Linked DNA regions of Oryzias latipes. The protein of the gene in region 1 purifies or fractionates together with the protein of each later gene. This does not show direct contact. Links are inferred from orthologs where the notes say so. Each region holds a gene or a part of one and is shown in the gene's direction. Other genes may lie near its edges. The genes, in order: ccnc, cdk19 and med9.

The links.
Region 2: the proteins of ccnc (region 1) and cdk19 purify together in Homo sapiens (affinity purification with mass spectrometry; 8 studies listed by BioGRID and IntAct, counting the BioPlex papers as one, with this or other methods). This does not show direct contact. The link is inferred for Oryzias latipes from reciprocal best matches to the Homo sapiens genes CCNC and CDK19.
Region 3: the proteins of ccnc (region 1) and med9 purify together in Homo sapiens (affinity purification with mass spectrometry; 4 studies listed by BioGRID and IntAct, counting the BioPlex papers as one, with this or other methods). This does not show direct contact. The link is inferred for Oryzias latipes from reciprocal best matches to the Homo sapiens genes CCNC and MED9.

What each region holds. Positions count from the first base shown.
Region 1 is NC_019882.2:15,128,101-15,132,535, reverse strand, and holds the start of ccnc (cyclin-C), read left to right. Parts: upstream 1-1,564; 5' UTR 1,565-1,690; coding exon 1,691-1,722; intron 1,723-2,054; coding exon 2,055-2,161; intron 2,162-2,302; coding exon 2,303-2,387; intron 2,388-2,853; coding exon 2,854-2,923; intron 2,924-3,060; coding exon 3,061-3,112; intron 3,113-3,209; coding exon 3,210-3,265; intron 3,266-3,957; coding exon 3,958-3,993; intron 3,994-4,071; coding exon 4,072-4,163; intron 4,164-4,250; coding exon 4,251-4,318; intron 4,319-4,408; coding exon 4,409-4,435. Other genes in the region: glial fibrillary acidic protein, read right to left, coding at 154-319, 399-592. UniProt on the Homo sapiens protein: Component of the Mediator complex, a coactivator involved in regulated gene transcription of nearly all RNA polymerase II-dependent genes.
Region 2 is NC_019882.2:10,351,840-10,355,946, forward strand, and holds the start of cdk19 (cyclin-dependent kinase 19), read left to right. Parts: upstream 1-1,155; 5' UTR 1,156-1,428; coding exon 1,429-1,431; exon of another isoform or gene 1,432-1,505; coding exon 1,506-1,651; intron 1,652-4,107. Other genes in the region: amd1 (S-adenosylmethionine decarboxylase proenzyme), read right to left, coding at 31-152.
Region 3 is NC_019866.2:10,875,004-10,877,696, forward strand, and holds med9 (mediator of RNA polymerase II transcription subunit 9), read left to right. Parts: upstream 1-1,350; 5' UTR 1,351-1,402; coding exon 1,403-1,482; intron 1,483-1,677; coding exon 1,678-1,897; 3' UTR 1,898-2,102; downstream 2,103-2,693.

The sequences.
Region 1 (4,435 bases):
CCAGTTGCCACCGGGCTTTAATACTTTTCTTAAATAAGCAAAATTCCCAAGAGGTAAGCACCAAACACAGAAAAGGTTTTAAGGTTTGTCATAGTGTGAACGTGACAGCCAAGCAAAAGCTGCATATTCGACTTGTAAATCTTTGTATCTTGCCTTTTCAATATAAACTGTCAGACGATCATTGAGAACAACCATCTCCTGCTTCTCATTGGTGCGTGTCAACTTGAAGGCCTGGTTTTGTGCTGCAGCCACATCCAGATCCATCTTATTCCCCGGTTCCAGGGATGAACCTACACAAAGGACCCCCATACTTGAACTGCTGCAGGAGCCCAAAAATAATGGTGTAAGTGGCTTTGTGTTGTGGGCTTTTTGTGTAGCTGGCTGAGGTGATGACCTACCTTGTCAGTTTTTGCTTGGTGAGTGCTCTATGCCCCCCCAACTTCCACCCGCCACTTCGGTTGAAGCTGGCTGAGCGGTGGCGGTTCTCTCTCCTGGTGGGAGAAGGACTGGAAACCCGGAGGTGGGATGTTGAGGCAATGTTGTCCTCAAAACAACGGCGGTATGAAGACATCCTCTCCGGGCTTCGGCTCATGGTGGCTTTTAAGTTGATGCAACTGTAGTTGGAAACTGGAAATGGAGCCTTTGCTTCTTCTGTCAGTCTGAGGAGGTGGGGTCTTTATACACTTCTTGGCCCTTCCCCTAACACTACAGTGAAATGCTGAACCCTTCCATACCAAGTATGAATGCCTGCACAGGCATCTATCAACAACAAGCCAAATAATTTGGCCTATAGGCTGTTGAAAGAACATTGTGCTTCGAATGATGAAGGACTTAATTAATTTTGAAGTAAAAGCTGAATTAAACATTACTTTCAAATGTTAAGTACAAGCAAAATGAACAATACAAACTGATTTTTAGTTGTCTTAATTACAATAAAAACAAGTAAAACATTTGAAAAAACAGAACACCACTGACTTCACGAAAGGCTAATTGAAATTAAATAAATACAATAGAATACAATTTCCTGTTTTTCTATAGGGCTACGTAATTTGTTTAGACCAAAGAAAAGATGTCTGCAATCGCTGATCGCTAAATCGCTAAAAGTCAAAAGTCCTTAATTGCTGCTTTTTGTTTTTTTAATATTAATAGACTATATTAGGTATAACCCTTTACACAATGTAGAATAACTATAGCCAAAATAAAATAATTAAAAAAAAAAACAACTTGTAGTTGACTTAACCACAAACAAATATGGTATAAAAGCTCTAGTTACCCAAATGCTTTAATATTCAATTGAGTTTAGGAGATAATCAATGAACCCTTTGAAATAAAGGATGCTATGTTTATTTGACCACTTTCTTTATTTCCTTTTTCCCTTCTGTTGCTTGAAAACCTCATATACTAGCCTCATCACATCTACTTTAAACGTCTAAACATGGTAAATGGCATCTTAAACAATTAGTTTTATAAATGTTTTAATCATGCAAAACATGTGAGTATACCCTCTTTGAAGTAATCGTGTTTCCCGACATTTACAGGAGACTGCGGAACCAATCTTTGGGCTCGTCGGAACGTTATTCGTGATACACCAGCTCTGCCACTTTAATTACTTTTCTCGCTGTCTCCGCTCTTTTGTTGGTTAAAAAAAACACAATTTTCCTTTCTGTAAATTTCTACCTCAACTGCAGTGATGGCGGGTAACTTTTGGCAGAGTTCTCATTAGTGAGTTTTTGTTAAAATAATATCGACGTTGTGTGTGTTTTTGTCGTAATCATCAGCCGCTTCGCTTGTGAGGCCTAGCTAGCTGCTATTTTTGTTCTGCGTTGAAGCTAACAGTTTACTTATAGCATTGTGGTGTAAAAATAACACTTGGGGAACACACTGTAACTAAAAATGTGGACTTTCTTTCCTTTGAGCTCCAGCAATGGTTCTTGTTTTCGTTGTGTTTTGTTGCCGTCACGTCAGGAGCTTGTTACTGTTAGTCAAGTGAATTTGACCCGTTCAAACGTCTGTATAAATTTATCATATAAAGTAATCTTGCTTATCTTTTAAAGTCTGCAGTGGGTCTTGGACAAACAGGACCTCATAAAGGAGCGCCAGAAAGACCTGAAGTTTCTCTCGGAGGAGGAGTACTGGAAGCTTCAGATTTTCTTTGCAAATGGTGAGTTTTTTTTCTAATACATTCATGCAGGTTTTGGGTCTGTTTCCGGGTCTGTTTGAAAACATGAGAAAATCTTGAATAGTCACGAACAAAACCTAAATCACACACTTCAACTAATGTTTTTCATTTGGTATTTTTCAGTTATCCAAGCTCTGGGCGAACATCTGAAGCTGCGCCAGCAGGTCATTGCTACTGCGACTGTGTACTTTAAGCGCTTCTACGCCCGGTAAGGAGCTCGAAACGCTTTTTCCATAAGTTAAGCTGTTGGTATTTTACACGTTTGTGCTGACAGCTCATGGAGGGTAAAGTGTGAACATATTGGGCAGCCCTAATGAGATTACATCAGTGTTGATGACAGTTTCATTTCTGCAGAGCATCAACAGCTTTTGTGTCCGGGAGCGGATAAGTTGGTCTGGTTTATTGAACCCTGTAACAAAAGGCTGTCGACATGATGTATCAATGAGTAAACAAAGGAATGTTTACTTTTGCTGACATTAGCATAACAGTTAGGAAGGCAAAAAAAACAAAAAAAAAACTTTCCTCTTTTGTTTTAAATTCTTTCCCTTAACTATACTGTGCTTACTACCCATGTAGCCATGATTATCTTTGGCTACTCTTACTTTTTGACGTCGTCAGCATTTCTTTCCATGATCTGTTTGTTTAATATTTAAATACCTTGTGTCATTTTGCAGGTATTCTCTGAAGAGTATAGATCCGGTGCTCATGGCTCCCACTTGTGTGTTCCTGGCCTCTAAAGTTGAGGTATAAATTTGGTGGAATCATCTTTAACATTTCATGTTACATTTCATTTTTAATCATAAGTGAGACACATTTTAGGGTCTTTAACTGCTTCTTTAGTACACACGATAATCTGTTTTGTATTGCTTATTTTCCTGTAGGAATTTGGAGTCGTGTCCAACACCAGATTGATCTCAGCCGCCACCTCTGTATGTAAGTGACCCACATTGTGGATCTCAAATTTAAGTTTTCCCTGTTTTCATTTGGAGTTTCCAGCAACACAAATTTTTTTTCTTCTGTTTTTTTGTAGTAAAAACAAGATTTTCTTATGCCTTTCCAAAGGAGTTTCCTTACAGAATGAATCATGTGAGTAAAACACAGTGGAAGTAATCCGATTACGTCTGTGATTTTATGAAAAAGTTAAGAATCATGAACAAATCTGACGATGCAGAAATGTGACGGTAAACAGTAAATGCCATCAAGGTTTACTGGTTTAAGTTTCAAGAAGGTGAGGTCACATCAAACTGCTTCCTCTGCAAAGTTATTTATGTGCTGCATTGCAGCTTACCGAGAAGCCTTCAGACTGTATCACAGTGTTGCCACATTACTGCCTATCAGTGCGTTAGATTCCTCAGCTAATGTTCACACTCTGCTGACAAAAAAAAAGTCAGTCAGGGGGCTTGCTGCTCAATGCTTTTGCCTCGCAGATCTCCAGAGTTTCCAGAACAAGACGGCTCTGACGTAATGCTATATAAGCTATAAATTACGGAGGGGGGGGGGTTCAGACGGCAGAGATTGAGGTAGCAGAGGGCCGTGACTCGTAAACATCATTCATCTTGTGGACATTGGACACTTAGTAAAAGTGTGACAATGATGAAGTGCGAAGCTGTTAAAAGCAAACAAAGTCATCATCTGTACAGCAGGAGGTCAAAGGCCAGTCTGATGACGAGACTTAATAAATAAAAATGAATTCACAAATTTTGGGGGGCATTTTCAAAGTGAAAACATGATTAAATGTCTTTTTGAAATAATTCTAAACCTCTTTTTTTTCCCCCCAGATTCTAGAATGTGAGTTTTACCTTTTGGAGCTAATGGTGGGTGGAAATCTAGATAAAAAGGATGAGTTGTTTCATAGAGAGAAGAATTGATCCTTGATTGGCTTAATTTTTCAGGACTGCTGCCTGATTGTGTACCACCCCTACAGACCTCTGCTGCAGTATGTGCAGGACATGGGGCAGGAGGACATGCTGCTGCCCTTAGCATGGTACGTTCTGCCTCGTTTGAACAAAACCCATTGATGTTAGCTTATTTTTCCGCTGGAAGGCTTTGCATTGTTTTCTGCCTTTACCAGGCGAATAGTGAACGACACGTACAGGACAGATCTGTGTCTGCTCTACCCTCCCTTCATGATAGCTTTAGGTAAGAAATGCCTCTTAGGTTTTGAAAGTAGAGCAGTTTAACTCACATTTCAAAAAGATGGATTAATTACTGCTTCTGTTCCTCCATCAGCTTGCCTACATGTGGCCTGTGTGGTGC
Region 2 (4,107 bases), about 4.8 Mb from region 1:
CCAAACCACTGACTGACGGAGAAGACAAACCTTGGGATAGAGCGGAGGTCCCCGGTGCCCTTAGTGTCATCCTGGCGGCAGAACCAGACCTCCAGCAGCTTCTCGGTCCCCTCGAAGAAATGTGCACCGTTATCCTGATCCTCCATCATCATGATGAGACAACAGACACCTCAATAGTCTGTCAAACCTTGGTAGTATGGTTTACAGCTTAAAATGGTCGTTCCTTGGTTCGCTTTAACTTATTGAGGTACAGTATTTTAACAATCTGGTTGTTTGCTTGTCTTGAGTTACCGTCTTCCCTGTAGCAGAGAACAACGTAAGCGAGCGCTAGCTAATATCGCCGGCCATACTGTGTAGAGCACTGAGGAAGCGGCGCGCGGTGATTTTATACAACGACGCCGTTACGTCAGCGGTGCGCTGAGCCACTCTCCTGGTGAGGTTTTATTTACTCCTTTATGATTGGTCCAGGGATCTGTCACTCATGACTCAAACACTGTGACGTAATAGACACGTTCGTTTATTCTTTAAACTTGTTTAGGTCTAAAGAAAACTTGTAAAAGTCTAAAGTATAATTAAAAAGCTGTCTTTTTTCTATCAATACTTATTTTGTACTAATTTACTTGGGTGGATGATTGATTGTTTTTTTTTAAATATACAAGCAAATACATAAATACATTTACTTACAATTTTGGAGCTCAAAGATTAATTTTCTCCACGAATATAAAAAAAAAAATAATGAAAAGACAGTATCTACTCTATCTTTTATAGAAAACAATAGTAACAGGTCAAAATATTTGAGGTTCCCCCCTCATTTGAATCCTTTATCCAGTAAAATTATGATCACATAGGCTATAACGTATAAATGCAATATAAAAATTAGTATGCATTTGCTTTGTTAAGAGATATACATACAGTTGTTTTCATTATAGTAGTTTCTTTAAACAGGTTTTTTTTACTCACTGAGAAAGTTAGATTTTAACAACAATAATTTTGATAATTTTTTTTTTACTTACGGAGAAAGTTAGATTTTAACAACAACAGTATTTATAATCAAATAATTATTACATCATAATTAATACTTTTTAAAATCTTTTTTCTCTTATTAAAATGAATACTGCAACTACTATTAGTGGTAAAACAAGTTTTAAGGAAATAATATTTTCAATTAATGGCTGATGTTTCAGACAAAAATTTCCATAAAGTCAAACAGCAGAGGAACATTTTTGAAGAAAGTTCTTTAGTACGCAAAGTGCAACAAACCGCATCAAGAAACGCGGGTAGTAGTTTATTTTCCTTCTCTTTACTGTTTCCTCAATGGTGTCAACGTCCCATTGGAACTACACTACCCATCTGGCAACACGCGCCAATTAGAAACGTCAACGAGCCAGTGAACATTAAGCGGAGCAGACCAAAATCCCAAACAAGGAAATGGTGGGGGAATAAAACGACCAGATTATTTAATGAATGCATGTAATAATTAATATTTTATTTTTTTGTAAATTAAGACGTATTTATGGGTTGAAATGGATTACGACTTCAAAACAAAGCTGGCAGCGGAGAGGGAGAGAGTGGAAGATCTTTTCGAATATGAAGGTTGCAAAGTGGGTCGAGGCACCTACGGGCACGTTTATAAAGCTAAGCGCAAAGACGGGTAAGAAGATAACCGTGAACGTTCTTGTTTTGTTCCGAAGTCTCATATCGACCGCTCGCTGCTGCTCGCGGTCTCAGATCTCACTAACGGGCCGCGCGGCTCGGTAGGTTCGAAACCCACCAAGGCAAAAACCTCTGTGTTTTTGTTTTCATGGAACGCACGCGCGCACTCACTCACTCACCCACCAACGCCCCCTCCCCACGATTACACTCATTCACACATACACATAACATACAAATGCGCGCGAATACCCCCCCCCCCTCTAAACTAAGTCCCAGACGAAATGTTAAAACAACGCGGCTGTTGTTGTTGTTTTTTTTATCGAGGGGGGGGGGGGGGGAGTTCACGCGGACGCAGGTCGACGTGACCGCGTTGCGCCTCGCGGCTTTTTTAGGCAGCAGCTTTGGCTCTAGTAGAGACGTCAAACTTTAGTAATAGTTTGTCACGTGTGTACCTCCAGCAACACCTTTGTTGTTAGATCAAAGGAGCAGGAGGAAGACTCAGATGCTCCCATGACTGCTGTTTCATAGACCCTCTGTGGGACTTTGAAACAGCAGGCATGAAGGCTCGGAGTTTAAAACAGAAGCTGTGGGTTTTTGTTTGAAGGTGGAGTTCATCAGTCTGTGGTCAGTCAGAGGTGATCTTCATGATGTTGCTTTTAAAATTTGCAGTTTTGTAGGAAATCGGTACAGATTTGTTAGAACTTTATGCTGTTTTGTATTTTGAACTTTTTTTTCTGCAGCTTGATAGGGCTGCATGGTTAGCACTCTTGGCGTGCAGTTCCTGGTATGAATCCTGGCTGGGACCTTTTTGTATGAAATTTGCATGTTTTTCTTGTGTGTGTGTGGGTTTCTTCCAGGAACTCATCTTTCCTCCCACAGTCCAAAAATACAATCAAGGGTTAATTGGTGACTCAAAATTGTCCCTAGATGTGAGTTTGTCTCGTTGTGTGGTCCTGTGACAGACTGGTGATCTGTCCAGATCTTGTCTGTAAATGAGAACTGGACCGACATCACCCATACAAAATGGCTTGCTTCTGGTTCCACTAAATGAAGTCAATTCAGTTGCCTTTTTTTTTTTTGCAATATGCATGTTGCTATGTTGGTAAGCAGTGATTGATCTGAGTAAATGTTTCTATGGCAACAACTTTCGCTAATCAGGAGTGAACTTGTTGAAAGTCCACACCTTTATCAACTGAAAGCGTGCCTAGGAGAATCTGTCAATGAAACGCTTCAAACGTTCCGTGTTAGACCACATACTTTTATTGAGGCATCAGATTGGTCATTAATGTGAATAGCTTGCACTACAGAAAAAATATGGGAAAATAAATTAGGATTAGCAAGAACATGTTAAAAAGGGTAGCAGAGCTAGAATGTTTATTCGGACCTATAGAACGACTGAGTAATATCTGTTTATTATTCAATAGAAGTCTGTGGGATTTGGGCTGCTAGGAACCAGCAGGTACTTCCTATTTAGAATGTGATGGGAGAGGGATTACCCAGTCCAGTTGTCATGTGCAGTCAATGGGCCAATTCGCCCAATAGCAGCTGGGATGGGCCCTAGTAACCCCATTACCCCAACAGGTATTCAGCAGATTTGGATGATGGATGGATGCGTGAGGTGGACACAAAAGGACCGTTTGGGCCTCAGAATGTCATACCGTCAAGAAAAGCTCACAACCTTGAAAGCAGACTGACCTTATCAGATGTTGTGGCTAAAGAGTCATCTCTGGTTCCCATGACGACAGAAGGGTCACAAGAATTATTGTTCTGTTTCATAAAACAGCTGTGAATGTTTGTAACACACACATATTTTATAAATCAAGTAGATATTGATCTTACCCTGTAAAGTTCAGAAACCGGTCAACGATAAAAACAATAAAAGCTCCAGTTAAAAAAATCTCCTGTTTTGAAATCCAAATGTTGTCTCTTTCTTCCTTTTTCAACCATGGAAAACAAAAGACAGAACCCTACGGTTAGGTTCTGAAATACTCCTTGTGGGACCTACTGCTTGAGTTGATTCAGAATCTCTGTATATTCATGTTTTCATAGGGACGAAGGGAACATTGGACGATTCTTGGAATGGGGTTTGTTTCAGTGGATCGTCCATTGTGTTGATGAGCTGGAGGTTCTTTTAAATGGATCAGGAGGTCAAACTTGTTTTATTGTTCACGCTTCGCTTTCCTTCCCAGACTTTCTTTGGGGAGACACTGTGTGAAGTGTGAAAGCAGCCTTAAATGTTTACATGTAGGATGAAAGTGGTATGGAACTGGACGTCTTGACTGGGTTTGAGTTTTTTTCGTCATCTGGGATGGTCAGATCAGCGCTGCTGATTCAGCCACATACCTACACGATGAGTTTCACAACACTCCATTGTGACTCTGGCTCATCTGCCGGTACGGTCAATGAAAAACAACTTGTACAGAGTTAATAAAGCACTCCAACCATTTCAGTTAA
Region 3 (2,693 bases), on another chromosome or scaffold:
CTGTGTCACGTTGGCATTCTATCTTCTCCAGGGGAGACTGAGTTTTTCCCTTTCTGTGTTCACCAGGTGTGAGTAATGAACTCATGGGATGTTCGCTGCATCAAGAGGTCAAACTTGATTTCATGTGAAATGGATGTAAACATGAGTTATTTGGGCTAAAAAGAATACATTTAAAAATAAAACACATAATTCAACATCAAACAGGAGAATCGTCATTGCTACACATGCATAATCGTGTAGTCACTTGTACTAACAAAGAATTGAGCAAATTAGCCATTTTAATTCTCCGTGTTGCCTAATGTATTGCCAAACAGGGCTTTAGAAAATAACCAGGAAGTAAGCTTTTCATTATTTTGTTTTATTTTCTACATACTAAATATTGTATCCCCAATCAACAAGGACGCACTGTGTAAACAGAAAAGGAAAAAGGGTTTCCAGACAGAGATGCACGACCTGAATGAAACACTTCATTTATCTTCCAAACAGACAAATTGCGTGACGCACCGTGAGACTATATTTGTGCTTGCTATGAGCTCTAGTGTTTACACAGCTCCCCATTTTTCAGTTCTCAAGCATGTCTTGTGTTGACTTTCGATGTCAGTACTTCAGGTTACCAAGTAGCAAGACGTGTAGCCAAGGTCATTCCAAGTCCTAGGTCATGTGTTTATTATGTGCATTGACAAATGGTCTGTGACCTCCATCCATCCATCCATCCATCTTACTCTGCTTTACCGGGACTGGGTCACGGGGGCAGTCTAAGCAAAGATGCCCAGACTTCCCTCGCCCCTGCTACTTCCTCCAGCTCTTCTGGGAGGGACCCCAAGGTGTTCCCAGGCCAGCCGAGAGACGTAGTTTCTCCAGCGTGTCCTGGGTCTTCCCCGGGGCCTCCGCATAGTGGGACATGCCCGCAACACCTCCCCAGAGAGGCGTACAGGAGGCACCCGGACTTGATGCCCGAGCAACCTTGGAATAGGTCTGGGACCTATTCTGAGCAAAATGATGACATGCCACGAGAATTGCAAGGGCTTTATCAGAAAGAAATCAGTCCCAAATCTTTTAGATCTTTTTTCTTGTGTTTGAAATTTATTACAGCAAATTTTTCTTTGTTATTTCTTGTTTTGTGTCAAGACTTTTTAATAGTTTGGGAATCATACCATGACTTATATGACTTACCATCTCAAGGTAATCATTTTTTTCATACTTTTGATAACTAGAGTATTCATTCATTCATTCATTCATTCATTTATTCATTCAATCAATCATTCACTCATTCATCTATAATCATTGTTGTTGTTGTTGTTGTTCAACATCAATTGAACTTTTTTAAAGTTGTGATTTCAGTTGAGATTCTCGGAGTAACCTGTGACGTCATCAGCCTGCGCCAGTTGCAGAAGGAGTAGCAATGGCGGTAGCTCAGGCTAAGCTCGTGAAGGAGACCGAAGACTGCTCTTTGCTGCCCTTAGTTCACGACATTATCAAATGGTAAGCTGTTTCCTGTGTGCTGGGTTTACGTATATGTTGGTATTTACTAAATGGTTCACGGTAAACTCTCGTTGGGGGTATTTACGGTTTGCTATATGAGAAGTGACGTGAACGCTTCCCATCATGGGTGCAGTTTTGCCTTTAATAGAAGTCTGTTATTTATGTATTTATTTATTTATTTATGTTTCTGCTTAGCATGGATAAGGACAGCCCGGATGTCAACCAGGAGCTGACAAAACTAAAAACAAAGATCCAAGAAACCCGGGAGCAGATCTCTAACATGTCTGGGATAGACTGCAGTCCGCCGGAGCAGCAGCAGCAGCTGGCCACGCTGCGGGAGCAGGTCCGCACCAAGAACCAGCTGCTGCAGAAGTACAAGGGACTGTGCATGTTTGATGTGCCTAAGGCGTCGTGAGACAACAGACTACAAACTGGAGACTTGAGCAAAGACGTTTATTTCTACGGTTTACCATTTAAAAAAAAACCTGAAATGAAAAATGGGACTTTTGTTTTTCTTTTTTGTTTGCATCAGTGTGAATGATCTGCTCTGTTTCTGAAGTATCTGTTATTATTTCAAGTTGTAAATCTCTATTTTTAATAAATTAAATCGTGCTATAGTGTTTTACTTGTTTTCATTATTATTATTATTATTATTATTATTAATAATAAATGTATAAGGGCTTTGATGCTTTATTGAGCAGACCATTTAGTCTGAATCTAAAAGGTTTTTAAATAAAGGAAAGCATTTGCCACGGCACACACTTTCACATAACTTTATGTAGTTCCTTTTCACAACATGCAAAGTAAATCTAATTTAATGTGAATCAGCATTTTTCTCTAAACAAAGTTTGATTTTAATCATAAATGATATTGTCTCTAATGGGCCAAATATTACATCTGTTGATATCTACTAAATAGCCTCTAATTATATGTGCTGCACTGCCTCCTAGTCTAATTGTTTTCCTTCTCTGTTATTGTGCCATGGTTATCATTTGTGCAAACAATGGAGTCCTAATGAATAATTATTCAGGCTGTTAGCTCTTTTTATATATAAGTCCATTTAATTTCAGAATGTCTCAATAAATGATGTGTTATAAACATGTATTTTCATTCGAACAGCAGAATGAAAACGTATATATAATTCTTAAAGTGTTTGTTTTATGCGAGAAATTGGAGAGTGGGACTGAGAACAGACTATGAAAGTATCAAGT